Linked DNA regions of Tamandua tetradactyla. Each later gene encodes a partner of the first gene's protein in a complex. Links are inferred from orthologs where the notes say so. Each region holds a gene or a part of one and is shown in the gene's direction. Other genes may lie near its edges. The genes, in order: STK3, RASSF5 and SAV1.

The links.
Region 2: the proteins of STK3 (region 1) and RASSF5 are in contact, whole or in part, in a crystal structure (PDB 4LGD), measured with the Homo sapiens proteins. The link is inferred for Tamandua tetradactyla from reciprocal best matches to the Homo sapiens genes STK3 and RASSF5. Residues at the interface, in NP_006272.2 of Homo sapiens: Phe437, Phe439, Leu440, Leu445, Leu448, Gln449, Arg451, Leu452, Leu455, Asp456, Met458, Met459, Glu462, Ile463, Leu466, Arg467, Tyr470, Lys473, Arg474, Pro476, Ile477, Leu478, Ala480, Met481, Lys484, Gln488; in NP_872604.1 of Homo sapiens: Trp369, Asp370, Ala371, Phe372, Ile374, Leu377, Gln378, Phe380, Leu381, Leu384, Glu385, Glu387, Glu388, Lys391, Ile392, Val395, Gln396, Lys398, Tyr399, Phe402, Arg403, Lys405, Leu406, Ala409, Leu410, Ser413.
Region 3: the proteins of STK3 (region 1) and SAV1 are in contact, whole or in part, in a crystal structure (PDB 6AO5), measured with the Homo sapiens proteins. The link is inferred for Tamandua tetradactyla from reciprocal best matches to the Homo sapiens genes STK3 and SAV1. Residues at the interface, in NP_006272.2 of Homo sapiens: Trp429, Lys430, Val431, Pro432, Gln433, Gly435, Phe437, Phe439, Leu440, Lys441, Asn442, Leu443, Ser444, Leu445, Leu448, Gln449, Arg451, Leu452, Leu455, Asp456, Met458, Met459, Glu462, Ile463, Leu466, Arg467, Arg469, Tyr470, Ala472, Lys473; in NP_068590.1 of Homo sapiens: Tyr311, Ala312, Arg313, Ala314, Pro315, Asp319, Trp324, Glu325, Phe327, Gln328, Leu329, Leu332, Asp333, Gln336, Leu339, Lys340, Leu342, Phe343, Glu346, Leu347, Ile350, Val351, Met353, Tyr354, Ala356, Tyr357, Arg358, Ala360, Leu361, Leu362.

Annotation. Positions count from the first base shown.
Region 1 is NC_135332.1:142,775,022-142,784,595, reverse strand, and holds the start of STK3 (serine/threonine-protein kinase 3), read left to right. Parts: upstream 1-4,952; 5' UTR 4,953-5,160; coding exon 5,161-5,186; intron 5,187-9,574. UniProt on the Homo sapiens protein: Stress-activated, pro-apoptotic kinase which, following caspase-cleavage, enters the nucleus and induces chromatin condensation followed by internucleosomal DNA fragmentation.
Region 2 is NC_135330.1:64,233,353-64,242,926, forward strand, and holds the start of RASSF5 (ras association domain-containing protein 5), read left to right. Parts: upstream 1-4,900; 5' UTR 4,901-4,945; coding exon 4,946-5,402; intron 5,403-9,574. UniProt on the Homo sapiens protein: Potential tumor suppressor. Seems to be involved in lymphocyte adhesion by linking RAP1A activation upon T-cell receptor or chemokine stimulation to integrin activation.
Region 3 is NC_135340.1:1,699,752-1,709,325, forward strand, and holds the start of SAV1 (protein salvador homolog 1), read left to right. Parts: upstream 1-4,057; 5' UTR 4,058-4,125; coding exon 4,126-4,219; intron 4,220-6,474; coding exon 6,475-6,918; intron 6,919-9,574. UniProt on the Homo sapiens protein: Regulator of STK3/MST2 and STK4/MST1 in the Hippo signaling pathway which plays a pivotal role in organ size control and tumor suppression by restricting proliferation and promoting apoptosis.

The DNA of each region.
Region 1 (9,574 bases):
CTCATTTCTCTCAACATTTGTTTTGGAGATGAGAAATCTGGTCAACGGTTTGCTAGCATAATTAAAGTACCTACTTAATCTCAATTCTATCAGAATGGTTGGAAGCACAAAGAGATTACTTTGCTTTCATAGTTAAATGAAGCTGAATGACCCTTCCTCTGGATCTCAAATTTTTCTACAGCTTTCATTTGTTCCTGAATGTTGCTCCCTCTTATTTGCAGGTTGCATAATTATTTATATTGTTTTTGAAAACTTCAGGCTGGGTTTCCACAGCCAAATTAAAATAGAGGCTTAAGGCACTTTTTTTTTTCCTTCTGAGTAATTCAGGAGAAAACAATTCCTTTTATTCAGTAACACATAACATACCAAGCACACTCCCACCTCCAGGCCATATTGTTCCCTTGGCCTCAAATTCTCTTCCTCTGGATGTCTGCATAGCTCACTCTTTTACGTTCTGGCTTCACTCCCTCACTTCCTCAGTCGCCCTCTCATTGGCCTTCTCTGGCCCACCCTATCTGCACTTAGACTTTCTCTGCCACTTGAAAACAAGGATCACCTTTCTTCCAGTTGACAATGACACATTCATCATTTCTGTCCAAGGCCTCATCTGAAGTACCTTTAGCGTCGGTATTTCTATCAACAGTTTCTTCAAAGCAGTCTAGGCCTTTTCTATTAAACTTATCACAATTCTTCCAGAATTTTCCCCTTATCCATTTATAAAACCGTTCCAGCATATTTTGGTATTTGCAAATTGCAGCATCCCACTCTTCTGGTACCAAAATCTATTTCAGTTTGCTAAAGCTGCTGGAATGCAATATGCCAGAAATGGGTTGACTTTTTCATTGGGGAGTTATTAGGTTACAAATTTACAGTTCCAAGGCCATAAAAAATGTCCAAAATTAAGGTATCAAGAGGAAGATGCCTTCTCTGAGGAAAGGCTGCTGGCATCTAGGGTGCCTCTGTCACATGGGAAAGCACATGGTGATGTCTGCTAGTCCTTCTTTCTTGGGTTCTGGTTTCAATGCTTCTCTCCAAATGTCTCTGGGCATTTCTCTCTTTGTTCTCTCATAAAGGGCTCTGGTATGGGATTAAGAGCTACCATGAATGGGGTGGATCAGTTCTCAATTGAACCAAAAGTTCCCACCCACAACAGGTCTGCCCCCACAGGGATGGATTAGAAGAACACAGCTTTCCCAGGCAGGGGTGTAAATTTCCCTGGCAATGTGGGACAGAAATCCTGGGATGAGCTGGGACCCAGCATCAAGCATTAAGAAAGCCTTCTTGACCTAAAAGGGGAAGAGAGAAATGAGACAAAATAAAGTTTCAGTGGCTGAGAGACTTCAAACAGAATGGAGAGGTTATCCTTGAGGTTATTCTTACATATTACATAGATATCCCTTTGTTCTAGTTTGCTAGCTGCTGGAATGCAATATACCAGAAACAGAATGGCTTAAAAAAAGGGGGAATTTAATAAGTTGCTAGTTTGCAACTGATAATATGTCCCAATTAAAACAAGTCTATAGAAATGTCCTAGCTAAGGCATCCAGGGAAAGATACCTTGATTCAAGAAGGCCGATGAAGTTCAGGGGTTCTCTCTCAAGTGGAAGACACATGGTGAACACAATTGGGGTTTCTCTCTTGGCTGGAAGGGCACAAGGTGAACACAGTCAGGGTTTCTCTCTCATCTGGAAAGGCACATGGCTAACACAGCGTCATCTGCTAGTTTTCTCTCCTGGCTTCCTTTTCATGAAGCTCCCTGGGAGGCATTTTCTTTCTTTATCTCCAAAGGTTGCTGGCTGGTAGACTCTAAGCATTCTCTGCTCTCTCTGAATCTCCCCCATTCTCCAAAATGTTTCCTCTTTATAGGATTCCAGTAAACTAATCAAGACCCACCCAAATGGATGGAGCCATGTCTCCACCTAATCCAACTTACCACTCTTGATTGAGACACATCTATAGGGAGATGATCTAATTACAGTTTAAAACATAAAGTACTGAATAAGGATTGGAAGAAATGGCTGCCTTTACAAAATGGGATTAGGATTAAAACATGGCTTTTCTAGGGTACATACATCCTTTCAAACCAGCACATACTTTTTAGTTTATGGTGTATTGGAATGGCCGAAGGGAGGTACCTGAAACTGTTGAGCTGTGTTCCAGTTGCCTTATTTCTTGAAGATGATTGTATAACGATATAGCTTTTACCATGTGACTGTGTGATCCTGAAAACCACGTGTCTGATGCTCCTTTTATCTAGGATATGGACAGATGAGTGAAAAAATATGGGTAAAAAAATTAACCATGAAGATAAAGTTTAAAATAAATTGGGTAGATGGAAAAACCAGTGGTCAATGAGAGGGAGGGGTATGGGGTATGGTGTATTTGAGTTTTTTTCTTTTCCTTTCTTTTTCTGAAGTGATGCAAATATTCTAAAAAATGATCATGGTGATGAATACACAACAATGTGATGTTGTGAGCCATTGTTGTAACATCATATATGGAATGTTTGCATGTTAAGATTTATCAATAAAAATATTTAAAAAAAAAGAAGAACATGGCCTTTTCTGGGGTCTATAACAGCTCTAAACCAACACAATTACCAATTAGGTTCTTATGTTATTGTATGTTTCCCCAACGTGGGTGTCATGGTCATGTTCGTGTGTCAACTTAGACAAGTGGTGGCTGGGCAAGTGCTGACTTGTCTGTTGTGATGAGGACATTTCATAGAATTAAATAAAGAGTTGAATGAGATTATGTAGGCCAAATGTCCTCCTGTTGGATTCATACAACATTTGTTAGTACTCTCCCTTTTCAAACAGAGGGGAGACACCGAGGATTTATTTTCTAATATTAATTCTCCTTCTTTCCATAAACCTTCTTTTTCGGTGTCAGTCAGGGTTCCAACAGAAAACCCTTTTGAAAGTATACTCAAATTAGAGTCATCTGAGGAAGGGTTTAATGACAAAGGATCATTTGAGGAGGCTGAGGTGTAGAGGAACATAGGGAATAGAGGAGAAACCTAGTAAAAAGTAGAACAATCACATGGCCCCTAGGTCTAAAGGGAGAAGGGGAATGAAGGAGATTTGGGTAAAGTGTTTTGCCTTGAGAAGATCATTGAGGACTTCCTGGAACACATCTAGTCCCAGGAGACCTCATAAATAGTCTGACTTCACACTCCTTTTCCCCCTTGCAGAAGACTTCCTGTTGGGTTTCCCTATCTTTAGACTTATTTAAAAGAGAGAGGGCTAAGGAGCCCTTTGATGTGAGCCCACGGGTCAGCCCCCAGGGCAGACAGCAAGGTGCAGAAGAGTGGAGAACTTCAATACAATGTGATAAGCACCACACAAAGCCCAGCACAGAGTACTATGGATTCTTAAAAGTGAGGTTTCTCTTTCATAACTTGAATTTGTGTGGGAGGCATGGAGTGGTGGTACTGGGCTGGAGTTTGGGAGGGGCTTCCTGGGGCTTAAGGCAATTCAGAACTCATTTTAACTCTTTGGTTTATCTTGCTATTGTGAGTCTTCAATATATTCAAATGAGTATACAAATTTGCAAGAATCTCATTTACAAAATTCGACTTTAGATCTCAACAATGAGTGGCCTTAAATTTAAAATAACTAAATTTGGGAGGGTGGGTGGATATGATGGTTTAAAAAGAAATTGTGAAAGCTTGTTACATAATAAAACTTAAAAATGCAAAATGAGGAATAAGTGTTGTGGTAGACTGAATTATATACTCCAAAAAAAGAGATATATTCTTATCTTAATCTGCATTCCTGTGGGTATCAACCCATTATAAGTATGAACTTCTGAAGATACTATTTTTAGTGAAGGTATGGCCTCACTGAATCCCGTCAGCCTTTGTCTATATTACTGGAGGCCTTATAAGAGTCAAGAGCCAATACTGGATTTAGGAGAAACTGGAAGAGCAGGTGAGAGAGTGAGAATGAGAGAGAAAGAGAGAGAAATTCCCAAGAATTGCTGCAATCCAGCGTGAGAACACTGAGAAAGCATGGCTTGATTTTGGACATCTGGTCTTCAAAACCATGAACCAATGAATTCCTGTTGGTAAGCCAATCCATCGACAATTTAGGCTAATGTTCATAAAGACTCTTTATTCAACATTCTCTTCTATATATTGTTCCACCCTTGAGAAAACCGTATAGGACTTTATACCTTGACAATTTATAATAAAAACAAGAAAACTCCTTACATAGCAGTTGTAGTTGGTCATAAGAAAGACAGCCACATGTGGAATTTAAGGTTAAACATGAAGGGATACTATCAGAGTAGGGTGAGTGTGGTTGGAACAGGTAGGGAGGAGGGCGAGAAGAGGGAAGGAAACAAATTTTTCTTGAGTGCTTTTCTATGCACCATAGGTTCTGCTATTTCTTGCTAGGTTACCTAATAGAATACTGCGTTTGTGCCTGAGAATCTCACTGCAGTAATTATTTTCTCTGTAATTAGATGTAATTATTGTGAAATGTAATGAGGAGCCTGTCCACAATCAAAAAAAACAAGAATTTCCAGGAGGATCACCACTACTGTAGCTACAAATGTCAAATCGCTGGGGGAAAACAGAAGCAGTAATTATAACCAGAACTAAGGAAGAAATCCTGGGCAGTTAGTAGTACTTCAAACGGCTTCACAAGATGCTTGGGATGCATCGTGTGGGAAATCCAGAGAAATGTTTCAAATCGCATTGGGACAAACGCAGGGAAGAGAAATGAGGAGCAGCAGTCCTGAACCGGCTGTAAAGGGACCTATCCCTCACCAGCACAGAAGAGTCCTTAGATAGCCTCAACTTCTGGATCTTCCAATCCACCCCTCCCCTTTTCCCTTCTCTGCGCCGCGGCCCGCCCCTTCCCGGGTCTCCGAGTCCACTCACTCTCCCCGCCCCGCGGTCGGCCCCGCCCACTCCCCCTGGCCCGGCTCCGCCCACCACCCTGCGCTGCGGCCTGAGGCCGAGGGGCGGGGCAGGCCGGGAAGAGCCACACTCCCCAGCGGCCGTAGGATCCGCCGCGGAGTTACGAGAAAGTTGGTCCGAGTTCCTGGAGTTTCCTTCCTTGGCTCCCCGGGCCCGGCCGGCGGGTGTTCCAGCTTCTTTCCTCCCTCCAGCCTTCCCCGCCCGCCAGCTCCCTCTCTCTGCCCCAGGCCGCCATGGAGCAGCCACCGGCGCCCAAGAGGTAATCAATAAGGGGAGCGGGGAGAAGGAGGGACGCGCCGCTGGCAGCCCCGGGGCGGGTTCGGTTAGGCCAGGCCAGATCGCGACCCCCCACCCCGGCTTCCGGGCTCTGGGCCGGCGCGCCGTGGGTCAGGAGGGAGGTCCGGCTGCAGGCGCCGCCTGTCCTCGGGGCGAGGGGACCCGAGCGGAGGCCGTGACTGGCTCCCCCCGCATGCGTCCGGCGGGGCCTGGCGCGCGTGGAAAGGAGAGTGGGCAGCGCCCGGCTCCCCGCGGCCGGACCTCCTGCGGCTCCGGGGCAGGTCGAGTTTTCCCCTCGCGGCAAGTTTACGAAGACTGGGAGACATAAAACAGGGACATTACTAGTGTTCTGCCAGTCTTGTAGGCGTTCTTGTCAAATGTTCTTCGTAATTTTTTTTGTTTGTTTAAAGAAGTTGGGTTGTTTATTTACTGTTTAAGGAATTAAATATTAATAGGCACACAATCTCTGAAACTTGCGGATTTGCCGCACTGACAGGTGTTTCTCCACTTAGTTCAAAAGTATTTATGGATGCTAGACAGTAGGGATCTTAAATTAGAACCCCTTCCCCTATAGTTTTTTGTTTTTCTTTTAGCATGTAAAAATAGTGATGCTTTGGTATTTACTGTTAGTTTATGTTTAATCTATGATATTATATTGGAAATGTAAGAATGCAGAGTAAATACGTTTGAATTAATATTTGAAATGATCTAAATAAAGATTGTTTATTGATACAATTGCATAATATGGATTTTTCCTTCAAGAATGTATCTGTAGCTTGATATTGGAAAAAAACATTAACTTCAGGCTTTCTTTTTTTTTTTTTGAACTATTTTTATTGTATAGTATAACATATATACAAAGCAAAGAAATAAAAAAGCAATAGTTTTCAAAGTACTCTTCAACAAATTGTTACAGGACAGATCCCAGAGTTTGTTATGGGCTACCATACGATCCTCTCATATTTTTCCTTCTAGCTGCTCCAGAATATGGACGGCTAGAGGGCTTAAACACTTTTTATCATCACAATCGACTTTTTTTTTATTTCTTTTTTTTGTGAACAATAACATATATACAAAAAACCTATAAATTTCCAAGCACGGCACCACAGTTAGCTGTAGAACATATTTCACACTTTGACATAGATTACGATTTCACGTTTTTACTTCTAGCTACTCTAAAATACTGGAGACTAAAAGAAATGTCAATTTAATGATTCAGCATTCATATTCATTTTTAAGTCCTATCTTCTATGTGTAATTCTGCTGTCACCTTTGATCTTTCCATACCTCTCTTGGGGTTGTTTGGGCTATAGTAATTCTAAATTTTTCATATTGGAAGGGTCTGTCACTAATATGGGTAGGAAGATGGAACTATCTGATGTTCTGGAAAGGTTGGGCTAGGTTTCAGGACTTATGTGGACCAGGGACCCATCTGGAAGTTGTAGGTTTCTGGAAAGTTACTCTAGTGCATGGAACCCTTGTGGAATCTTATATATTACCCTAGGTGTTCTTTAGGATTGACTGGAATGGTCCTGGTTGGGGGTGGGCAGATTATGATCCATAGCAAGGTCTACTTGAAGCTTGCATAAGAGCAACCTCCAGAATAGCCTCTTGACCCTATTTGAACTTGTTCTGCCACTGATCTTTTATGAGTTATACTTCTTTTCCCCCTTTTTGGTCAGGATGGAATTGTTGATCCCACGGTGCCAGGTCTGGATTCATCTCTGGGAGTCATCTCCCACATTGCCAGGGAGACTTTCATCCCTGGATGTCATGTCCCACGTAGGAGGGAGGGCAGTGATTTCACTTGCAGAGTTGGGCTTAGAGAGACTGAGCCACATCTGAGCAACAACAGAGGTCCTCCAGAAGTAACTCTTAGGCATGCCTATAGGTAGGCTAAGCTTCTCCACTACCTACATAAGCTTCACAAGAGTAAACCTCATGATCAAGAGCATAGCCTGTGGATTTGGATATCTCTAAAGTTTGACACAGTATCAGGGGTTTCAAACCTTACCTAATGGTAAGGTTTAATAGTTTCATGTTCTTTTTCCCCTCCCTCAGGAGACTTTGCCAGTACTTTTTGATTATCTGCTTAATATACTCTACGATGTATCCAGGCATTACAATAATCTATACAAGATTAAAGGACCTCTTTCTTATTCTGTGCTTCCTGTGTTTCAGTTATTCAAATGAGCTATACAGATAGGTTGAATTAGATTATACACGACTGAAAATTTCAATTCCAGATCAAATAAACCTTTCTTCTATTGGTCTCAAAGAGTATGTGTGGTTCTAAAATGTAGACGCTTTTTCTTACTCCTATATTCTGAATTACTTTAACCCCAACCTGTTCGGCTTTGTTTTTACTCTAAATATCAGGTTATATATATATATATATATATATTTATATATAAAACAGCCTCTCAAAATCCAGAAATGTTAATCACCACTCCGGACTTAATGTATCTACTCAAAAGCTTACAATCTAGGCCCCTGTTTTCTTATAAGCATTTTCTAAAGGTGTCCATGCCATTTTTTTTTTTTTTTTGTTTGTTTGTTTCTGGCTTATTTTGTCTCACCAAATGTCCCATATGTTCATTCACATTGTTGCATGCCTCATGACTTTGTTCCTTTTTGTAGCAGCACAGTCTTGTTCATAAGTATGCACCATCGTTTGCTGTTTTACTTCTCCGTTAGTGCATCCTTCAGCCACCTGCCTTCATCAGGCATCACTTCAAGGGCCCAAAGTCCACAGTCCATCAACATTCTCAAGTTTAGATAATTTCATTGTTCCCAAGAGACAGAAAACCAGTAAACACATCTTTACCAAATAGAAAGTCTAAACCTCCTCTTGTCCCTCTCACCATTATTTACCTCTGCTGTTGCTTTGGTAGTGCTGATGGTTTCTTTTTGAGCATAGCTCATAGCATGCAGTAGCAGTTTTCCCCCTGTACCCAGGACTTAAACACTCTTTATACAAGAATCATATCTTTGAAGTAATTCTTATGAGAACTCATTCTTATTTTTAGTGTGTGTCAGTGAGACATGTAGGTCTATAAAACCCCTTTCGATCTTGTTCATCTTCAATATGGTAATATTACTTCTAGACCCACTAGAGAATAACCCTCACACTTATCTATTCCCTTACATTGGAGTTCAGCCTCTTTAGCTAATAGTTCACCCATCTCTAGCTTCTGTGTATCTCTAAGTCCCCTATCTTCTGTACTCATATAGTATCTATCCTTTTGTGTCTGGCTAACGTCACTCAACATTGACCTCAAGTCTCACCCATATTATAAGCCTCTGATTATACCTTTATGCTGGTCATAAAAGTAGCTCTTGTAAACAGTATATAGCTGGATTATGTGTTTTTTTTTTTTTTTGCATGGGCAGGCACTGGGAATCAAACCCGGGGTCTCCAGCATGGCAGGTGAGAACTCTACCTGCTGAGCAACTGTGGCCCTCCCTAGATTATGTTTCCTAATCCATTCTGCCAATCTGTATCTTTTAACTGGTAAGTTTAGTCTGTTAACATTCAAGTTTTTTACTGAAAAGACATTTCTTGATTCTACCATCTTATCTTTTTCATTTTGTTTGTCGTTTCTATATATTCTTTTCCCTCTTTCTTTTTGTATTCTTTAAATTACCCTTGTTGGTACTCTTCAATTCTGTGCCCTCCTCCAGACCTCTCTCTCCTGTCTTTGTTTTTTAGCTGCCAGAACTCCTTTTAGTATTTCTTGTAGGTTTGGTCTCTTGTTGATAAATTCTTTCACAGCTTCTTTGTCTGTGAAAACTTTAACCTCTCCCTCAGTTTTGAAGGACTCAGTTTGGCTGAGTACAGAATTCTTTGCTGGTAGTCTTTCTCTTTCAGAATTTTGAGTATATCATATCACTGCCTTCTCACCTCCAGGGTGCTAGTTGAGTAGTCTGAACTCAATCTTATTTGATTTCCCTTGTATGTAGTGGATTGTTTTTCTCCTGCGTATTTCAGGATTTTCTGCTTCTCTTCAACATTTGACAGACTGATTAGTATGTGCCTTTGAGAAGGTCTGTTTGGATTTATTCTATATGGAGTTCTTTGGGCTTCTTTGGCTTGTATATTTATATCCTTTATGAGGGTTGGGAAGTTTTCCCCCATTATATTCTCAGCTACTCTTCTTAGCCCTTTACTCCTCTCTTCTTCTGGGACACTAATGATTCCTATATTTGTGCGCTTTGTTTTGTGTATCATTTCCCTGAATTCCTATTCAATTTTTTCTATCTTTTTTTTTTTTTGTTATTTTCTGTTTTGAGTCTTCAAAGTCAATTATCCTGTCTTCTCTATTACTTATTCTTTCTTCTGTCTCTTCAAATCTGGTGTTATGTGCCTCT
Region 2 (9,574 bases), on another chromosome or scaffold:
AGTCGTTCAAGCCAAGAGTTGGTGGCCGATGCCTTTCTCTGGCATTTTACAAGGGACCGTCACAAACTTTTTAATTCTGCAACCTTTTGTCATGCTTCCTGCCCACAGTCTAGCAATGTAAAATATGACTGACCTCATTACACTTCTTGAAGAGGCTAAGCACTCCATGTAACATGCTGCTCAAGAAGGGAAGCAAGGAGGGCTGGAGAAGATGACATTCTGCACTTAACAAAGCTAAGGCCAGTCTTGCTCAAATATCTGCAGAAAGGCTCACACAGTTCTAACTACCTACTGTCTTTTCTCGTAGGCCAGCATTTTCAAAGTGTAGTTTAGGAGTCACCTTAATCAAACTCTCTTATAAAATGCAGGCTGATAACCAGATTTGTGGAATCAGCATCTCTGGGGGCTGGGGCTGGGAATATGCAGTTTGAACAAATGCATGTTGACAAAGCATGGGGAGGTTTGGGGGCTGTTGTGACCACTTGTCTTTTAGCCTAGAACCCTTTTTCCTCAGACAGTCAGAGAGCTTAAATGTCCATTCCTCAGAGAGGGCCTTCCTGACTGTCAGATTAAATACAGTATCCTGTCATTTTCTATTCTATTTTAAAAATAAAATGCTTTGTTTTTCATCATAGTACTTATTATGACCTGACACTCTATCACACTCATGTCTGCCTGTGGTCTGGCTCTCCCACTAAAATGTAAGCTTCATGAACATGCCCATTTCACCGTTGTATCTTCAGCGCCTAGAGCAGTGCCTGGTACACAGTGGATATTAGAGAATTAGGGAGCATGACAAAAAGTTGAAGAATTAAAATGTTTGTGACGGTCCCTTGTAAAATGCCAGAGAAAGGCATCGGCCACCAACTCTTGGCTTGAACGACTGCGCCACATTCTGTGAAATGGCCAGCATTCCCGTTTTATAGATGGAAAACTGAAGCTCAGAGAAGTCACGTGACTTGCACAAACAGGCATTAAAATCTGGCCTCAATAAATGAGTAAGTGTTCTATGCCCTTGAAAATGGCAGTGGTCATTAGTGCTGTTTGTCAAATATTTCCAATTCTTTCCTCATTCTGAGCATACTGTAGGATCACACTTCTTGTCCCCTTGGGGCCATTTATAGCTGGTTCTGGCTAATGAGCTGTGAGAGGAAATGGCTGAAGCTTTTGAAAGCTGGCATGGCATCCTCCGGGTTCTCTCGATCCCCTCGGGCATGGTGACTGGTGACATTAGACACGATGGCTGCTCCATCAGTCTGGGCCCCTGAGTGACTGATAAGCCAGGGTCCCCTCTCCAACCTACAAAGGACAGGTAGTGTGAATGAGAAAGACGTCTCTGTGTTTAAAGGCCCTGAGATTTGAGAGTTGTTCATTACTGCAGCATAACCAAACCTATCCTAATAGAGCTGGAAATCCTTTGTGCTACTCTCAGAACCACAGGGGATTCCCTAGATGCCTCGGGGATTTCAGAAGACATCAAATATCTCAAAGCCAAACAATAATAAAATTTCCCCCTCAGAAAGTCAGGTCATATTCTATCCTCCCCTGTTCCTTCCTACCAGGGAGATTTGTGGGGGATGGGGGGGGTGGGGGTGGGTCAACCCTTGGAAAGACTCACCCAATAGGGAAACCAACATGCTCCGGGACCACCTCTGAAGTGACTTTGCACACTGACCACACACTCAAAACCCTGCTGTCATAATCCTCCCCCTTGAGAAAAACTAACAGCAGCACACCCACGCTGCTGGGAGTGAGTCACAAGCAAAAAAGTCCGCAGCTCCAAGCCAAGAGGGTCTGCCACCACTGAGAAGAAACTCTCACTGGAGCTGTCAGCAGACGCTGAGGTCTTAGCCCATAGCCTGGATGGCCAAAGACCAATCCAAAAGTTTTAAAGTCCAGGCATCAGACGCTACCCCATGCAACATCCTGACTGCACAGAGAACTAGGGTTTACTCCATACTTCTTCCTTGGAAAGGAGGAGGGAGATATACTGTGTGTGTGTGTTTCTGTGTGTGTGTTGTGGGAGGGGGTGCTTTTTGGGAGGAGACTGGGGGCTGCATAGAAGGAACCAAATGCTGAGCAAGAAGCCTTGTGCTGAGGTGGCGGGGGGGGGGGGGGGGAGGCAACTACCTCCCCCGACCTCATTTTCTTGGCTCAAAGAGATGAACCTTAAGATAAACTTGATAAACTTTTTGGACTGGTTGCATGGAATTATGTTATCTCCATATTCATCTCTGTTCCCATCCCAGAAGTTAGGAGGGCTCTGAGCTGCCCAATCTCCCTCCCGCTTTCAGTGCTAAGAGCAGCCACCACCACTTCCCCAAATCAGAGCTGCAGCAATAAAACAAAAACTGGAGCAATTTCTCCGTACGGCTCACACAACTGGAAAGGGCTTTATGCCTGATTATCCAGATAGCCCTTAGCTTCCCAGGGCAAGAGGAGCCCCTTCTCCCCCATGAGCACTGCTCTCCCGGAAAACTATGGGGCTGGGCTTCCAAAACTATGCTGGGGAATTGGGGAGCAGGAGATGGTAACTGTTGGCAATATATCAAAAAGGCCATTTCAAAACTGATCTTCAAATGAACTCTTTGCTAGATCCCTGCTTTTTCTTGCCACCCGAAGCTGTCACCCAGAGTCCAAGCTGGGTCCAGACCCTGAACCTCACCCAGGCCAGTGCACTCCTGGGAGCCAGTGATCTCCCACCAGCTCTGGTGCCTGGAGAGATAGATGGATAACAGAGGGTGGAAACAGGCAAATATTTATATGCAACACATATTTCTGCAACAATTCCAAGAGACCTGCTTGCTGAAAAAGCGGGAGAGACAGGAATAAGAGACCACAAGGCAAATTGTATTTTTCCCTTTTACATATTCAGCAGAAACCATTCAGGAATTGCTCCCTTCTGGCTGTTCCACTGAACCGTTTACCTGCCTGGTGAGGAATCCATTCTCCCATCACCATCTTAGATCTAAAGCAATGGTTCTCAAGCTGGGGTCCTTGGATCAGTAGCATCAGCACTACCTGGGAAACTGTTAAAAATACAAAATCTCAAACCCCAGCCCCACATCTGATGACTCAAAAAACTAGGGCTGAGGCCAGTGATCTGTGATTTAACAAACCCTCCGGCTGATCGTGATGCATGCTGAAGTTTGGAAACCACTGATGTAGAGAAAGTACTGTTCAAACAAGGGAGAGGAAAGGTGGAGGATTGTGGTGCACGGTCCCCTAGCTCAGCTGCCTTCTGCCTTGTAGCACTGGGGATTGGCTGCTGTGGAGCCATGAAACAAAGCAGGCTGGGAATTTCCTAGGCATTAGGCTCTAGAATTTTTAGGAATTACCTAAAATTTACCTCCAAGGGGGGAAAACAAAAGGTGAAGATTCCCCTACTGGACACTAGGGGGAGACCCCTCTCTGGTCTGGGAGAAGGAGGGGAAGTCTCAGGTCTAGCAGGATTCAGACTATTCCCCAAGTTGGTTGCTGGTGACCGCTGCTAAATCAACCAACCCAACCCCATGCTTTAAGAGGAAAGTTGTGGTCATTATGTCAGAGTGTGGGAACCCGAGAGGACAGCAAGCCTGGCTCCTCACTCCCAACGCAATTTGCAGTTCAAACTGGGGCTAGAGACAGCCAGGATACACAGGTATGTGCCAGGCTACATAGGTTGGATTCAAAGACCCAGGAGTCCCCACTCAATCTCAGTTTCCCCACCCAGGAGACAGACCTGGTGCTATTCTTTCCCACACTAAATAGGGCAAAGGTACTGGTCAGGCCCAGCTACATTATTTGCAGGGCCCAGTGCCAAAACGAAATGTGGTACCTTCGTTTAAAAATTAAGAATTTCAAAATGGTGACAGTGGAGTATCAAACGAGGCAGGGGTGGAGGTAGAGCCGGGTGGGGGGACGCAGTAGTCTATCCTGATCCTGGTAGAAAAGGGTCTCTTTGGGTCCCACAGAACTGTCCATACCTGGTGCAAAGTAAGGCTATTTGGGGGTTGGGGTGGGGGTGGGGGTGTCGGATCTCCAAAGTAATTACTCGAACAGCTGGGAGAAAGGAGCCTTTGACTTAGGTAGAAAAAGTCCCTCAGCCTACAGGGTGCGAGGGCGTTCTCACACTCCAGGGCCCTCTACCAGTATAACTCCAGTCTTACGGGAAAGAGGAATCTCCAATCCCGCAAGGCTGCGGAGGAAGGGGAAACCCGAGAGAGAGTGAAAGCCGCGCGCGCACAGTCGGCTGCGCCTCGCAGGCGGCCGGGGTGCACAGCCTGGGAGCGTCCCCCGAAGCGCGCGTCCCTCCGCGTCACGGGACTCGGCGCTGCTCTGCGGGGACGCCACCGCGGCGCACACGCACTCCCCCGCCCAGACCCGGCTTCGCAAACCAGCTGAAGGCGACGAGGGAAGGAAGCACTGTTAGGGAGCACATTCCTCCAATCGGCCTGAAATTGGGGAGGGGGCGGCGGAGCCCCGGGACCTCCTCCTCCTTGGGTTCCATCCTCAACTAGTTCCTAAGCTCTTCCCTCCCATTTGGGCGTGCTGGGGTGCGGGTGTCGGGGAGGCGGGGGTGGGGGGTGGATCGGGTATTGGTAGAAGTGAAGGAAGAGGGAAAGAGGCAGGGCTGAAGGCAAAGAGACCCTACAGGAGGGCTTTTTCTGCATTGTACTGTACAGCAGCTTTGCTATCCTAAATCCCAGATGTTCAATAGACTTCCTGAAGGCGCCCCCTAAACCCACACTCATGCTCGGACAACCCCCACAGTACAACCTTACCACCCGGTCCGTCGGCCTTTCCCTCGTGTCGCCCTTCCTGCCTCCCTGAAGTCTCCCCGCCCCCGCCCCGCCCTGTCGGCTGCGGTCCCTTTAAAGGCGCGCTGGTGTGGGGCCGCCCCTTCTCTCGGGGCTGGCTCGGGAGCTGCGCCTCGCCGGGAGACAACCGCCGCCCCTAGCCGGGCATGGCCATGGCGTCCCCGGCCATCGGGCAGCGCCCCTACCCGCTCCTACTGGACCCCGAACCACCGCGCTATCTGCAGAGCCTGAGCGGCCCCGAGCCGCAGCCACAGCCCCCCGGCCGGTCGTCGCGCCGCTGCGCCCGCGCGCCCCTCTCCGCTGCGCCCGGGGCGCACGATGGGCGCGGCGCCCGGAGGACTTCCCGGGAGGACCCGGAGCCCCAACCCCGGGCTTCCCGACCCCCTCGCCCTGTCCGGCCGGGTCTGCAACAGAGACTGCGGCGGCGGCCCGGAGCGCCCCGGCCCCGCGATGTGCGGAGCATCTTCGAGCAGCCACAGGACCCCCGCGTCCCGGCGGAACGAGGCGAGGGACACTGCTTCGCGGAACTAGCGCTGCGGGCGGGCCCGGGCTGGTGCGACCTGTGCGGACGCGAGGTGCTGCGGCAGGCGCAGCGCTGCGCTAGTGAGTGTGGGGGCCGGGCAGGGGAGGGGCGCGCGCAAGACCGCAGTCCAGGGGCGAGGGACTGCGACAGGGCTGGGAGAGAGGCGGCATTGCCCTCTCTAACTCCAGGACAGGCCCAGACTTTAGGGGAAATAGTCCTTGGAGACAGTCTGCTCCTTCGTCCCCTACCCCGTATCCGTGACGACTGTCACTGCCCAGGGATGGCTGTGCGGTAGGCATTCTACCAATACCCCTTGCCTGACCAGTGCACGCCTTCACCTCCCCACATGCGCTCAGGCTGGGATTGATAACCACAAGGTCATTCCTTGTCTTCCATGCCCCCCGCATGTTTTTATCGTAGGATCTCACTCTGACCTTGGGAGGAAGGGCAAGACCAATATTGAGATGGCCATTTGACTCTTGCTTATTAGTGAAAATGGCAAAATGGTTTGTTTGTCCACCTACGGTGTGGGCCCAAACCCCTCCTCCAGGGGGACCTGTTGAGTCCTGGCTGAGGCCATGCCTGGGAAGGAGCTGTGGGTTGAAGGGAGGCTGAGGTCACCCTGCACCTGTGCCCCTGCCTGCCTTCCACATCTGGCCACTCAGACCTTTGGACTCAGCTCTCATGTTTGGCTGTGCCCTGCCTCCTCCTCTTCTTCCTAGGCTCCTACATCAGTGGTTGGTCTTTAAAATTACCCAACTCCCGGTGGGGTCCCTCCCTCCCCAGCTCAGTCCCCTGCAGCCTTCTCCTGAGCCAGGCTCTTCTCAAACCTGACTGTAAAGCACTGGGCACCCAGCATGTAGATTTTCTGAGCAAATCTACAGTCTTCCTGAAAGATTATTATTTTTTCTTACTACAATTAGGCATGTATATTCCTTTAACTGTGTCATCCGTGCCCCCTCCCTCCTCTGTCTTTCTCCCATATTTGTTGTTGCCGTGTTTGGCAGAGGATACCCAGAGGCGTGTGTTTATGTGTTTGTATAGGTATTTCAAATATCTGAAGCACAGATAATGGCACAACCTCCAAAAAGCATTTCTTGAAATGGTCATGTTTGCATCCTTCTGCAGCGGCCTTCCCCCTGCGACAGCAGCTCTGCATCTCTCCTCTGACTGCAGTGACTTCCACATCAGGAGGCCCCTACCTTTCCTCTCTGCAGGCCACAGCCAAGGCTGGGCATGTGCCTCCCACTGCAGCAGGCTGCGGGGAAGGGGAGCTCAGACTCTAAGCCGGGGCTAAGGGGGAGGTGGGAGATTGGAGGGGAAAGTCAGAACTCATAGTTCAGGTGCTGATTAAGCAAGAAACAGCAGAAATTCGAGAGTTGTGTGCTGTGGGTGTTGAGGACACATGTGGAAGGCTGCTGTCACTTGGTAAATGCCCCTGACCTTACAGAAGAATCCAGAACAACTTGCCCAGGGATGTGTTGGCTGCTTTTGCCCTTTCTAAGTTCCTGATCCACCAACCAATACACAGGGGAGAGGCAGAATCCTCACTAAAATGGGTTTTATTGTTCTGGAATCCCAGGAAATCTGCTTCATTGGAATTCCAGTTTGTATTGACTTTTGGAGACTACATCAGCTGTTGAACATTTTGCACGTTTTGATTTTTTTTTTGGTTTGGGTTCTTAAGAGTCAGAGGTATATTTGCATATGTTTGTATGTGCATATGCAGAGTACTCAGCATGAATTTATCCCCACTTCATGCTAGAGTTGTTTATTTCCTTTGCTTAGTTCCTAAATACCTTCTAGTGGCAAGAGAGTTGAATCTCCCAAGACCCAGGTTCACGTGGCAGTTCCTTTGACTTTATGGGACTTGGCCCACTTTCCTGAGTGCCAGCTCCCCCCTTGCATCACTGCTTTAATACCCTGCTCCCCAGGCCCAGGGATGGTTGACCACCGGAGAGGGAGCAGAGCTGGAATCAGGAAGCCACAGGGAGGAGTCTCGTTATTAATACTTAACTAATTGTGAACCTGTGGCTGGCTGGGAACGGTTGAGAAATATTCTGATGTGCGAATGAGGGCTGGCAAGTGGAGTCACAACAAATCAAACTCACTGAGTATCTTTAAGTTGAAGGTCTAGTTCTGTAATGGGTTTGATTTGTTTTATCTTTATTTTGAAAAGCAAGGGCCAGAGATATGACTTTAAAAAGCCAGGGCCTATGCCGTGATTAAGAGCACAGGCTGGGACCAGAGGGCCTGGGTTGGAATCCTGCTTCTGTATCTGTGTGACCCTGGGCATCTCTGAGTCTCAGTTTCCTTCTTTACAAAATGGGGAACATAATATTACTTACTTCATCAGGTTAAGGTGAGGCTTAAATGAGTTAATATACACATATATGTCAAGTGATGGAATAGTCCCTAGCAAAATGCTTTGTAAATGTTGGATGCTGTTATTTCTAGCCCGCTCCCATCTGACAGCTATGCAACAATTAGTTGGAGCTCTTGACACCATCTAGTGTCACCTTGGCAAGCAACGAGTACAGTTTTCAAACTCTGGTTTCCTGGGCTTAGGGAGGTAGCGAGTGAGCGTACCAGGAGGTGAGGGTTTGAAGTATCCTTGAGAAATGCCACGCCCGCCACTTTGTCCTCAGGAGGAGGCTGCAGTGGCCAAGGAGAGTCCTCACAGAATGCCCCCTCTGTGTGTGACACAGGAGTCGCCAAGCCATCGGCTCTTTATCTTTGTGTCATCCACGCCGAGCAAAATGCCAGGCACCGAGCAGCGTCTTCATAAATGGTGGCTTGGTTGAAGGTGTTGGCTTATTTGAACTATTCAGTACAAGTAGAAGGGCAGGGGGCATGTGACGGCATCTGTCTGAGCAGGAGGCTGGCTCTGAGCGGGTCCATGTTGGCAAAATGGGCTTGTGATAAGGGAAGCTTTGGGAAATACATCTTCTGCTGTCTGCCTGCCTTTCCAGTAGACAGTCATCTCCCTGGTATTGACCCCTAACTCTTATTCTGTAACTGAGACCTGGTGACTCAGGTGACAATTCGGAGTTAATATTAACTTCCAGGATTAAAGACATCATGTTTGTTGGATAAAGAAGGAAATCCAGTTGGAGTTGGTGGAGAGATAGGGAGAGCGACGTTGCATGTGTGTTTTGGATGGTGATGGGAAGCTTCGTTTTTAGCATTCCAGGAGGGATCAGTGAGCACCAACTAACCTGAGAAACTCACAGGCTGACCTCTGCCTTTGCTCTCGGCGGATGTCCCTTGCCGGTCAAGGACCCTTTCTTCTATAGAAGGCGCAGAGAGTGGCTGTTTTACCTTCCATCCCATTTGGGTGGCTCTGTAAGGCATCCTGGACAGGAAATCCACCTTTTCTAAAAGTCCGCTGTTCCAGGAATGGTCTGGCTAATGGAGAACTCTGTGCCCAGCTCCAGTACACAGAACCAGGGCTGAGACACATTGTGCCCACTGCCTGTGACTGCTGCACAGTCGGAGTTTCTCTCTGAAGGGGGAGTTGTTTGGAGCTATGATTAAGTGATTTGCAATGACAGGGCTGAAGGCGGGGACCCCTGGGCTCATCATTCCAGCCTCCCCCGGGAAGTGGTAGGCGGTAATTGAGGAGGGAATGTGGGCGGCGGAGTGTGGTGCAGCCCGCTGGGAGGGGCTCGGGCACCAGCCCTGGGAAGCAGGGCTGGTATCTCACGGGGCCCCTGCCCAGCCTCTCAGCCCTGACTTGTCACCGCACTATTGTCTGGGGTTAACAGCTACTCGATCCTGCCCACACACCTGTTGAGAGTTCTTTGCAGAAGAGCTTCTGGGACATTGATTCTTCTGCAGCGGAGAAAGGTCTTCATTTCAGGCATCCTGGAAAGCGCCCTGCGTGGTCCCAGGGCTGCTGGATTTATTTACCTTGAGCACCAGGAAGGAATTTGTGCAGTGCGCCCAGCAGTGCCTAAGTGGGTGGCTGCAAGTGTTTTCATAGACTTAGGCCCACATTTGGTTTCGGGGGGGAAGAAAATTAAACACGGAAATGGATGTTTTGTTGTTAAAGATGCTGGAATTTCCCCACCCCCAAGTCTTCCCCCACCCCTGGTCCTAACTGAGGTCTGCTTCTTGGGAAAACTCCCATTGGAGTGTGCGTGTGTTTGGGGACAGGGAAGGGACCTGGAATACCTTCAGAGAGGCCTTCTGTGTCCCCCAAGCTGCCTCCTCTTCTCCCCACTTCTTGTCTTCTCACAAGATGAAAGTG
Region 3 (9,574 bases), on another chromosome or scaffold:
TTTGTTATACAGCATTATGGTGGCAACAGCTAACTGATACTTCGACTTCATTAGGTTTCTGTTACGTGCTTAGCGCCCTAGAATATGGTAAGTGCAGATATGAGGCACCATTATTAAAAAATATATATATTTTTGCATATTTCCTTCTGCCCATTTTAGCACAGAACTTTAGGAATGAAAAACACTTTGGAAATGCAGTAGTCCAATTTCTTCATTTTCAGATGAGAAAACTAAGACCCAGAGAGCTATAAGGTTAGCCCAGGTTTGTTTAATGTTATACTAATCAAAAATAGTTGTTAACTCACTAATTGTCTATTTTCTCCACTGAGAATGCAAATGAAAGGGGAAAAATATTTCTATTATGTAATACAGTATTAGCATTGTGTTTGGAGAATTAAAGCTGCAAAATCTGGATTCCTTAATGAAAAATTTCAGAATTCCAGGAATTTCTGGAAAACATGTGAATTCAAAGCCTCTGGATTCAAAGTTCAGATATTTGCTATGCATTGCTACTGCTGATGCTGCCTGCAGACTGTTGATTCTGGCATGCACCCTCTTTGATAAAAAGTCAAATTATAAGTCTTAAAGAGAGTACCTAACAGATTTTTTTTCTTTGTAATTCAAAGAATTGAAATTGCACTGAAAAAGGGAATACTTTGTAGGGAATATGGATGGCCTTCAGAAACAACCGTATTAGAAACAGTCTGGATTATATTACTGGGATTTTTAATATGCTGCAGCAGAGAAAGGCTCAGAATGGGAAAAGAAAATATTTCTGATACTAATCTGCTGTAAACCAGGAATGTGATCTGAGGCAAACCATTTTTCTAGTTTTGTTTCTACATCTATAAAATGAGGTTAGCCTAGCTAATCTCAAAATTCCTTTCCAGTTATAAAATTCAGCGATTTCTTTCCCCCATGAATGTGGAAAGTATCCTCTACTTCAGGCTCTGGGAAAACCCAGGTGGGAAAAATTGACGTTATTAACAAGACCCTAATATCCTTTTTTTCTCTCATCCTTCCAAGGTAAGTAGGCCCTGTGCCGAAGACTAGCACTTTTGGCACCACTTTCTCCTCCATACCCAATCTGTAAGAAAACCCCATTGTTTTTTCATTTATGTTTCATCACTCTTCTCCACCCACCCTACCAACACTTTAGTACCAGTCCTTACTTCTGAACAGGAAGAAGTGACTGCTTTTCTAATGTTCCTCTAAAAGTACAAACTGCTTCTTTTTTTTTTAACATGGGCAGGGACCGGGAATCAAACCCAGGTCCTCTGGCATGGCAGGCGAGGATTCTTCCCTGCTGAGCCACCTTGGCCCACCCTAAACTGCTTCTTTTGAGGTCTGTTCTGTTCTAGCGTTAAAATTTACATTCCCATGGGAGTGATCCTTGATTTCTCTCTTTTCCTCGTGTTCCAATTCAATGCCAGCAACCTCGTTGGCTCTGCCTTGAAAAGATGTTCAAAATCTGACCACTTATTTCCACTGCTATTACTCTGGTCCAAGCCAGCAATAGCTTCGGACCGGTGTCTCCTCTTTGCCCTTTTCCTAAGTCTATTCTTAACAGCACCCAAAGTGATCCTATTCAGAACATCAGGTCGGATGAAGCCACATATCTGCTCAAAGTCAAGGGCCGTCAAGGCTCTAATTTCAATCCCTTGTACTCTCCCCTACATCCCTCTGTGCCTGCTGCACCGACCTCCTTACTGTCCTTCAATCTGCCAGGAATTTGGCCACCTGCAGCGATGCCTTGGCTGTGTTTTCTACCTGGAATATTCTCCCTCCAGACAGCTGCATGGCTGGTTCCCCATGTTCCTGTCTCACGATGCCTTTTCCAGTCACTCCGTCAGTGCCTAAAATTGCAAACCCTCTTCCTGGCTTTCCACCTCAGCTCTTATCACTAACATTCTGTTTTGCATATTATCTTTATCGTATCTTCCCCAGCACAGTAGGGATTTTTGTCTGTTTCATCCATTGATACACCCCAAGGATCTAGAATAGCACCTAGAAGTGGGTGCTCACTAAATATTTGTGGGTTACTCAATGAATAGCAGGAGATCTGTACTAAGAGGGCATAAAAGCATCATGCAAAGATGGAAGTAGACACTAGATAAAATGTTTTTTCATGGCAAAACACAATTTGATCATCGTCTTAATCTGGTGCAGTAGAAAATTCCATACCTTTTGTTAATTGTGGCATAAATTTTGTATCTCTTGTGAAATAAGTTTCAGATCTCAAGGAAAGCATTCTCTATTATTAAAAGTCTAATTTACCCAGGGATGAGCCTGGCCCTGGCACCGTGGGATCAACAATGCCATCCTGACATAAAGGGTGAAAAGAAGTGTAGCAAATAAGGTATCAGTGGCTGAGAGAGTTCAAATAGAGTCAAGCGGTACATGGAAAGTCACTCTTACTTAAACTGAAGTTAGACATTGCTACCTATCATAACTTGCCAAACCCCAAACAAAACCATTCCTGCCAACCGTAAAGAACACCTAGGGCTTTATATAAGATCCTACAAAGCTTCCATACACTAGGGTGACTTTCCAAAACCTACAGCCTCCAGATGGGTGCCTGGTCCAGGTAAGCCCAGCCTCTGCAGAATATCAGCTAGTTCTATCGCCCCTCCCATGTCATCAACAGCCCCGTCCAACATGAAAAGTTAGAATGGGCATAGCCCAGACACCCCTAGAGTGGAGAAGGACCAAAGGTGATGGTGGAGTTGCACAGAGAAGGTCGGGTTTAACAAATGAGCGTGACTGCTCAATCATGACACTGATATTTATTTGAGCTTCCAGTACCTTAGAGGACCTAAAAGTAAAAACCTAAAGTTGTGGAATTGTAACCCAATCCAAACTCTGAAATCTGTTCTACAACTAAGTGTTGTGATGTACTTTGCTTTTATGCATAAATGTTGTTTAAAGGAGAGGAACATAACAAAGATAGGATTTAACACAGATGACTGCTGAATCATACTGATATTTCCGTTGGTCTCCAGTGTCTTGGAGCAGCTGGAAGTAAAAATGAAAAATTGTGGAACCGTAACCTACATCAAACTTAAAATCTGTTGCGTAAGTACTTGTTAAAATGTACTTGGAATTTTATTGCTTTTATGTATGTGTATTTCACAATAAAAAAGTGTAAAAAAACAGGCCTCTTTAGTTCACCTGGGGATAGATCCTATCTTATTTGCTCACGATCCTGTACCTTTGGCAGTTCCCGGTCAGTAACAGCGAAGTGTAGTCCACGCTTTTAAACGGAAAATCCCAAACCCTCATCTCTGGCGTTCAAAGCCCTCAAAACCCGAGGACGGAACTAGCTAATTCCACGAGGAAGTACGTGACTGTTTCCCACCAGTGTGCGACTACACACGTACAGACTCAACACTGCCGTGAACGCGAGGTGCGAAAGCGTCGCCCTTCGTCCTTCCTGCACGGCCGGCGCACTCGGCGGCCCCGCGGCCCGTCCCGGCCGGCCAGCGTCTAACGGACCACTCGTCTCGGTCAGGAGGCTCCAGGTCCTCGCGCAGCGCCGCCCGACGGTGTCCCAGGGCCCGGGCTAGTCACCCGATCCCAGGCCGGCGGGCGTGCAGGGGTCCTGGGGGCAGCGGTGGGGAGGGGCTCCGTGCGGCGCGCGGTCAGGTAGGACACTGGCCGGCCCCCTTCGGCCCCAGTCCCCTGCAGTCTCGCTGCGGAAACCACAGCGGCCGCCCCTCCGCCCCGGAGCCGCGCGGTCAGCCGAGGGCCAGCGCCGACGCCCCGGGAGGCGGGAGCTGGGGTGGGTCCCAGGCGGGCGGCGGGTTTCCCAGAGTTCCCAGCGGCGGGTTTCCCAGAGGCCCCAGCGGCGGGTTTCCCAGAGTTCCCAGCGGCGGTCACTAGGCGGCGGCGGACACTGGTGCGGGTCCATGGCCCGGGCCCGGCTCTGCCGGCCTCTCGTGCTTGCGGTCAGCGCGGCGGCGCGGGCGGACTTCCGGGAGGCGGCTGGGGCGCGGCTGGGCGGCGGGCGGCGCGCGTAGCGCCTGGCCATGCGGCCCGCCCCGCGGGCGCCCCGGGCTGCGGAGAGGACCCGGCGCCGGGCTCTGGGCGGGCCGCGTGGCGCGGCCTCGGGCCTCGGCTGGAGGGATGCTGTCCCGAAAGAAAACTAAAAGCGAAGCGTCCAAGCCGGCGGAGGTGCAGGGCAAGTACGTCAAGAAGGAGACGTCGCCCCTGCTGCGGAGTGAGTGTCGCGGCCCCGCGGGCGCGCGTCTGGCCTTGGTGCCTTCCGCCTTCGTAACTTTTTGGTGCATGGAATGCCGGTTGTTTGAAAATCGCTAAGGGATAAAAGAGCAGGAAACTTGGTTGGTTGTTCCTTCGGGAGAGTCCCTGAAATAGCGCTCCTGGCCGCGGCGAAGGTCCTGCCCACGCTTCCGGAGCGCTCGGGCGTTGTGGGCGCCGAAGTCCGGGACGCGCCTTTTCCTGGTCTGGAGACGCGGAGAGACGCGGAGAGGCGCCCGGTCGGCTACTGTCCGGGCGCCGCCGCCTGTGCAGAGGGGCGCAGAGCAGCCGCTCCCAGGCCCCTCCGCTGGCACCACGGGCCGTGTGTGTGTGTGTGTGTGTGTGTGTGTGTGTGTGTGTGTGTGTGTGAGTGTGTGAGAGAGAGCACCCACGGGCCGTGTGTCTGTGTGAGAGCACCCACAAATCCTGTGTATGTGTGTGAGAGAGCACACACGGACCCTGTGTGTGTGTGTGTGTGTGTGTGTGAGCACCCACGAATCCTGTGTGTGTGTGTGTGAGAGAGTATCCACGGACCGTGTGTGTGTGTGTGTGTGTGAGAAAGAGAGTATCCACGGACCGTGTGTGTGTGTGTGAGAGAGAGAGAGCACACACGGACCCTGTGTGTGTGTGTGTGTGTGTGTGTGTATGTATGTGAGAGCACCCACAAATCCTGTGTGTGTGTGACGGTTTACACCACCCATTTAACAACCCTTTTCAGATTCCAGGGAGGCAAAGTAGCTTAAAACGACTTCCATCCTGTTCTAGGGAAAGTACCAAGAAGTCGTTTAGACTGGAGTAGGATCTGTCTGTCGCCGTGTGACTCTGGCTTCCGAGTGGGCGTGGAGGACGGCGTGATGTAGGAGCTGGTGCCGTGCTGCTCCCGCAGTGCGCCGAGCCCTCGCGTTTCCTTCCCGCGAGCGCGGGGTCCCTCGGGCGCGGCTGGCTCGTGCCCGGTCCGCAGCGCACGGTGGGCCAGACAGCAGGCCAGACAGCAGGCTTCCCCTGCAGCCACGCCGCAGCCTTCTGGGTTCGTTGTCGTGCTGGAAGGGCTTTCCCATAGAGCAGAGCAAGTCCCCTGGGGGCATCAGCTGCCCGAGGCTCATTTGTAAAACCTTTTTTATAGCTTGCTGTACAGTGCACGTGCTCTTAGGTTTTTGGCCAAGGTCTTAAATGATAGTTTGCAGTTTGCTGCACATAGTTTACTAAGCATTACTTGAAGCTCCAAAATATCTTTGCCACACTTTTTGGCAAATAAAAGCTTTTACTATAGTATTTTGTGTTTTAGTTTCATGAAGTGTTTATCCTTACTTATTTGGGCATTGACTTCTTTCTCTCTGAAACCGTTAATATGAATGCCCTCTAATAAGTTTACATAATGGCCACAAATCTCATTTTCTTCGTGTATTAACAGTTTTTGCTTTCTATCTGGGAATATCTGAACTGTTTTCAAGTTCTGTACTAAGAAGTATCTGGAAAAGCCATTGTTCTATTATCTTCTTCAATTGCTTGGTTCTTAGAGGAGCCATAAATTTAGGCTTGGTGAATTTAAACTGATTAAACATTCGTGTACTTCTTTGGAATGAGCCTTTTTAAAAAAATCTTCATATCAAAAACTTTGGCTTTCTAGCTTTTGATTACTCTCCTAGTTCTAGGTAATTCCAAGAGTAAGAAGACTGGATTAATAAGTTCAATTTTTTTTTTGTAAAGGTATCCAACTTCACATATTTTTGGAGTAGCATTATGTTTTGTTTTATCTTAGAAATGTTTGCTTGAAGAAGGAATTTTAGCAATTTCTAAAATGAAGTGAAAAATACCAAAACAAACTATAATCTTACATAATTTTGCTGGTAACTACATAGATGTTTCCTGTTTTACACATTTATTCATGAGTTATTTCATTAAGTATGCATTTTATATTTAAGTTTGTTGGCATTTTTCCATGTTATATATGTATGGTGGTACACAGAATGTATTTGATTCTGGCTGAGCTTACATATAGTACCTTCGTATACAGTATCAATCCATTTGGGTGGGGAAATGTTAATTAGCCTTAATCTTAAACTATCCAGGTACTATTTTAAATAAAAAATTTAAGAGATGTTCTCTTAAGTTCATTGAAACTTTGCATTTTAGGGGTGGTAGGTGTAACCTGACAACTTTTGAAAAGTGTATTTATTATTTGTTGAAATGGTCATTTTATTCTTTGTTTTATTATAGATCTCATGCCTTCATTCATCCGGCATGGTCCAACAATTCCAAGACGAACTGACATCTGTCTTCCAGATTCAAGCCCTAATGCTTTTGCAGCCTCTGGAGATGGAGTAGTTTCAAGAAACCAGAGTTTCCTTAGAACTCCAATTCAGAGAACACCTCATGAAGTAATAAGAAGAGAAAGCAACAGATTGTCTGCACCGTCTTTTCTTGCCAGGAGTCTAGCAGATGTCCCTAGGGAATATGGCTCTTCTCAGTCATTTTTAACTGAAGTTAATTTTGCTGTTGAAAATGGAGACTCTGGTTCCCGATATTATTATTCAGATAACTTTTTTGATGGTCAGAGAAGGCGGCCTTTTGGAGATCGTGTGCGTGAAGACTACAGATACTTCGAATACAATCATGATCTCTTCCAAAGGATGTCACAGAATCAGGGGAGGCATACTTCAGGTGACTGAAAATTAGAAATATTACATTAGTTTATTTGTAGAGCACTGACACTTTAATTCGAAAGATACTCTTTTCTGAGATTTTTTTGGGAAGCTAACAAATATTCCTAGTGAAATACGTTTTCATTTCCCCAGACTTTTTAAACCAGCTTGCAAAAAGTTATTGCTCTATACTGGGTCAAAGAATTCTTGTGTCCATTTATTTTATTAACTTATGTTATATAAACTTGGTAGCTATCTCAAGGCTATTTTAACTACTAACATTATGAGCCTTGAAAACCTAGAGAAGTTAATGTCTTCAGTTGGATTGAATTTAGGTTTTTGTTTGGTAGAATTGGAAAGTTTAAAATTCAGAGGAACTGGACTTGAACCTGGGAACGAAGAGGAGGCTAGGAATAATTGGGCATGCTAGGTGAAGCCTAACTATGGTGATGTAAGTGAGGGTTAGTGCTAACTAACCATGCATGCACAACGACATACTTGTGTTGATAGAATCTGCACTCTTTCTCTTAAAACTATTTTTATAGCTCAGTAGTTATTTCCTGAATTGGTAAAAAGATAAATTTATTGTCAGATCATATGGTTTATCAGGTACTGAGCATATCTTTTTGTTATTCTTTATGGAATAAGCAATAAATATTAGCAATGTAATTAAGAAAAAGTCTACTTTCTCTAACTATTGACATGGGGATATTTTTACAAAGACTACAAGAGAGACAATAAATGCAGTTATATTTTATGCTTAAAAGTACCAAATTACACTAAATGATAAAGCAAGGCAAAAATTAAACTTGGTCATCTCATTATTTTTTCCAAGTTAGTTGTAAGCCCTAAATTTGGGTAGGATTAAAAAAAACAACAGCTGTACATAAGACAGATTTACCTTACATCCCACTTAACTTCAAATAAGCTGACTTAAAAAATAGTTTGAAGTACAAATACTTTGATTGTAGAAAATATTTTTTTCATTGAATATTAATCATTTATGTGTCTAGCATCTTCCCTGGCTCTCTTTCTCTCTGCCCTCTGGTACCTATTTGGGAAAACAACATCAAAATACACAAACTACTCACAGAATTATAAGTATAGTATTACTGACTGTAAGAGCACTAGGGAATCGCAGGTTATCAGGGTGGGCTGGGTGTTAGAGCATGATTCAAGAAAGAGATAGGGTTTGAACAGGGCTTTGTACTTGGATTTTATATTACAGGAAGTAAAAGAAGGGCATTTTAGATGGAAAATTGGCAATAGCACAGTGAAGGCAGAGAAAAGAGGATTGCAGGTATCAGTGGTAATGGAGAGAAAAGGACGAATCTTTTTCTTTTTAAGGGAAAATAAAAAATTTTGGATTAAAAGAGTAAATCGTTAAAGTTTTGAAAATTGGGGAATAGTGTGGAATTGTTGGTAAGAGTAGTTTATTTGCGAAAGCCAATGTTGGGTCTCTTAGGGACACTGAAGTGGAGAATTTTTCTTTGCATGTGAGTGCCTTTTTTGTTTTTTGAAGTAGATTAAAGGATTAAGACAATTGCATAGTTTACTGTTTTGGCTATTTCTAATATTTTGCATTCTAAAGTTCAGAAATAATTTATTGTCCAACTAAAATAGTTTTTAAAATAAAGCATTTATATTTTATTTTAGAGTAGTCTGTGCTTTTTATAGGGAGTCTACAAAATGCAGAAGAGTAAACTACCTATCATACCAGATGCCTGTTAGTATTTTTATTTCCTTCATCTTTTTCAGTACCACTTTCTTTTGAGTTGTTATAGTTATACTCGTACAGTTTTGTATTTCTGCTTTTTTTCTTGAATGAAGTTTTTTTGGGGGGGTGCATGGGCTGGGAATCGAATCTGGGTCTCTTGCATCACAGGTGAGCATTCTACCACTGAACCACCCTTGCACCCCTTGAATGAGTTTCTTAATGTTTTATTCTTTTAATGAGCAGTTTGAATGACTCGGCAGTCTTCTGTTTGGTAGATGTTCAGTGGCTAATATTTTAAATAAATTCAGGTTTCCCAAGGGTTTAATGAGGATCTAACTTAGGCTGGGAACATTTGGAAAGAAGAGGGAAGTGGGGTAGATCTGAATTGTTGGACTTGGCCGCTAATGGAGTTTGGGTGATGAGGAAGAGTAAGCTTAGGATAGCACCTGTCTATATGGTTGATCAATAAAGAAATTGTTGAATGAGTGAAGGAATTCAGAGGTTTCAGGTCTGGAGACTTAAGACAGTTTTGGTACTTGGAGGGAGCAGAAATAATAGCTTTAAATAATCTGTTTAATGTTAATAACAATTTATTGTTTTTTGTGGGGTTTTTTTTTGCACTCATCTATCCCAAATATATTTATATTGTAAATGTCACTAATTGATCATACTGCTTTTCTTCCTGAGTTTTAAGTATATGAGTGAAGACTTATGCCAAGTTAAGATCATGTTTTAAAATTCTGTTTCATAAAATATCATTGCAAAAAGATAAATATCTATCATTGCAGACAAGCTTTTTTTTTTTTTTTTTTTTTTTAACATGGGCAGGCATCAGAAATCGAACCTGGGTCCTCTGACATGGCAGGCAAGCCTTCTTGTCTGCTGAGCCACCATGGCCTGCCCTAAAGACAAACTTTAAAGCAATTGTAATTTAGAAATAAAATACAAGTTTAACGTA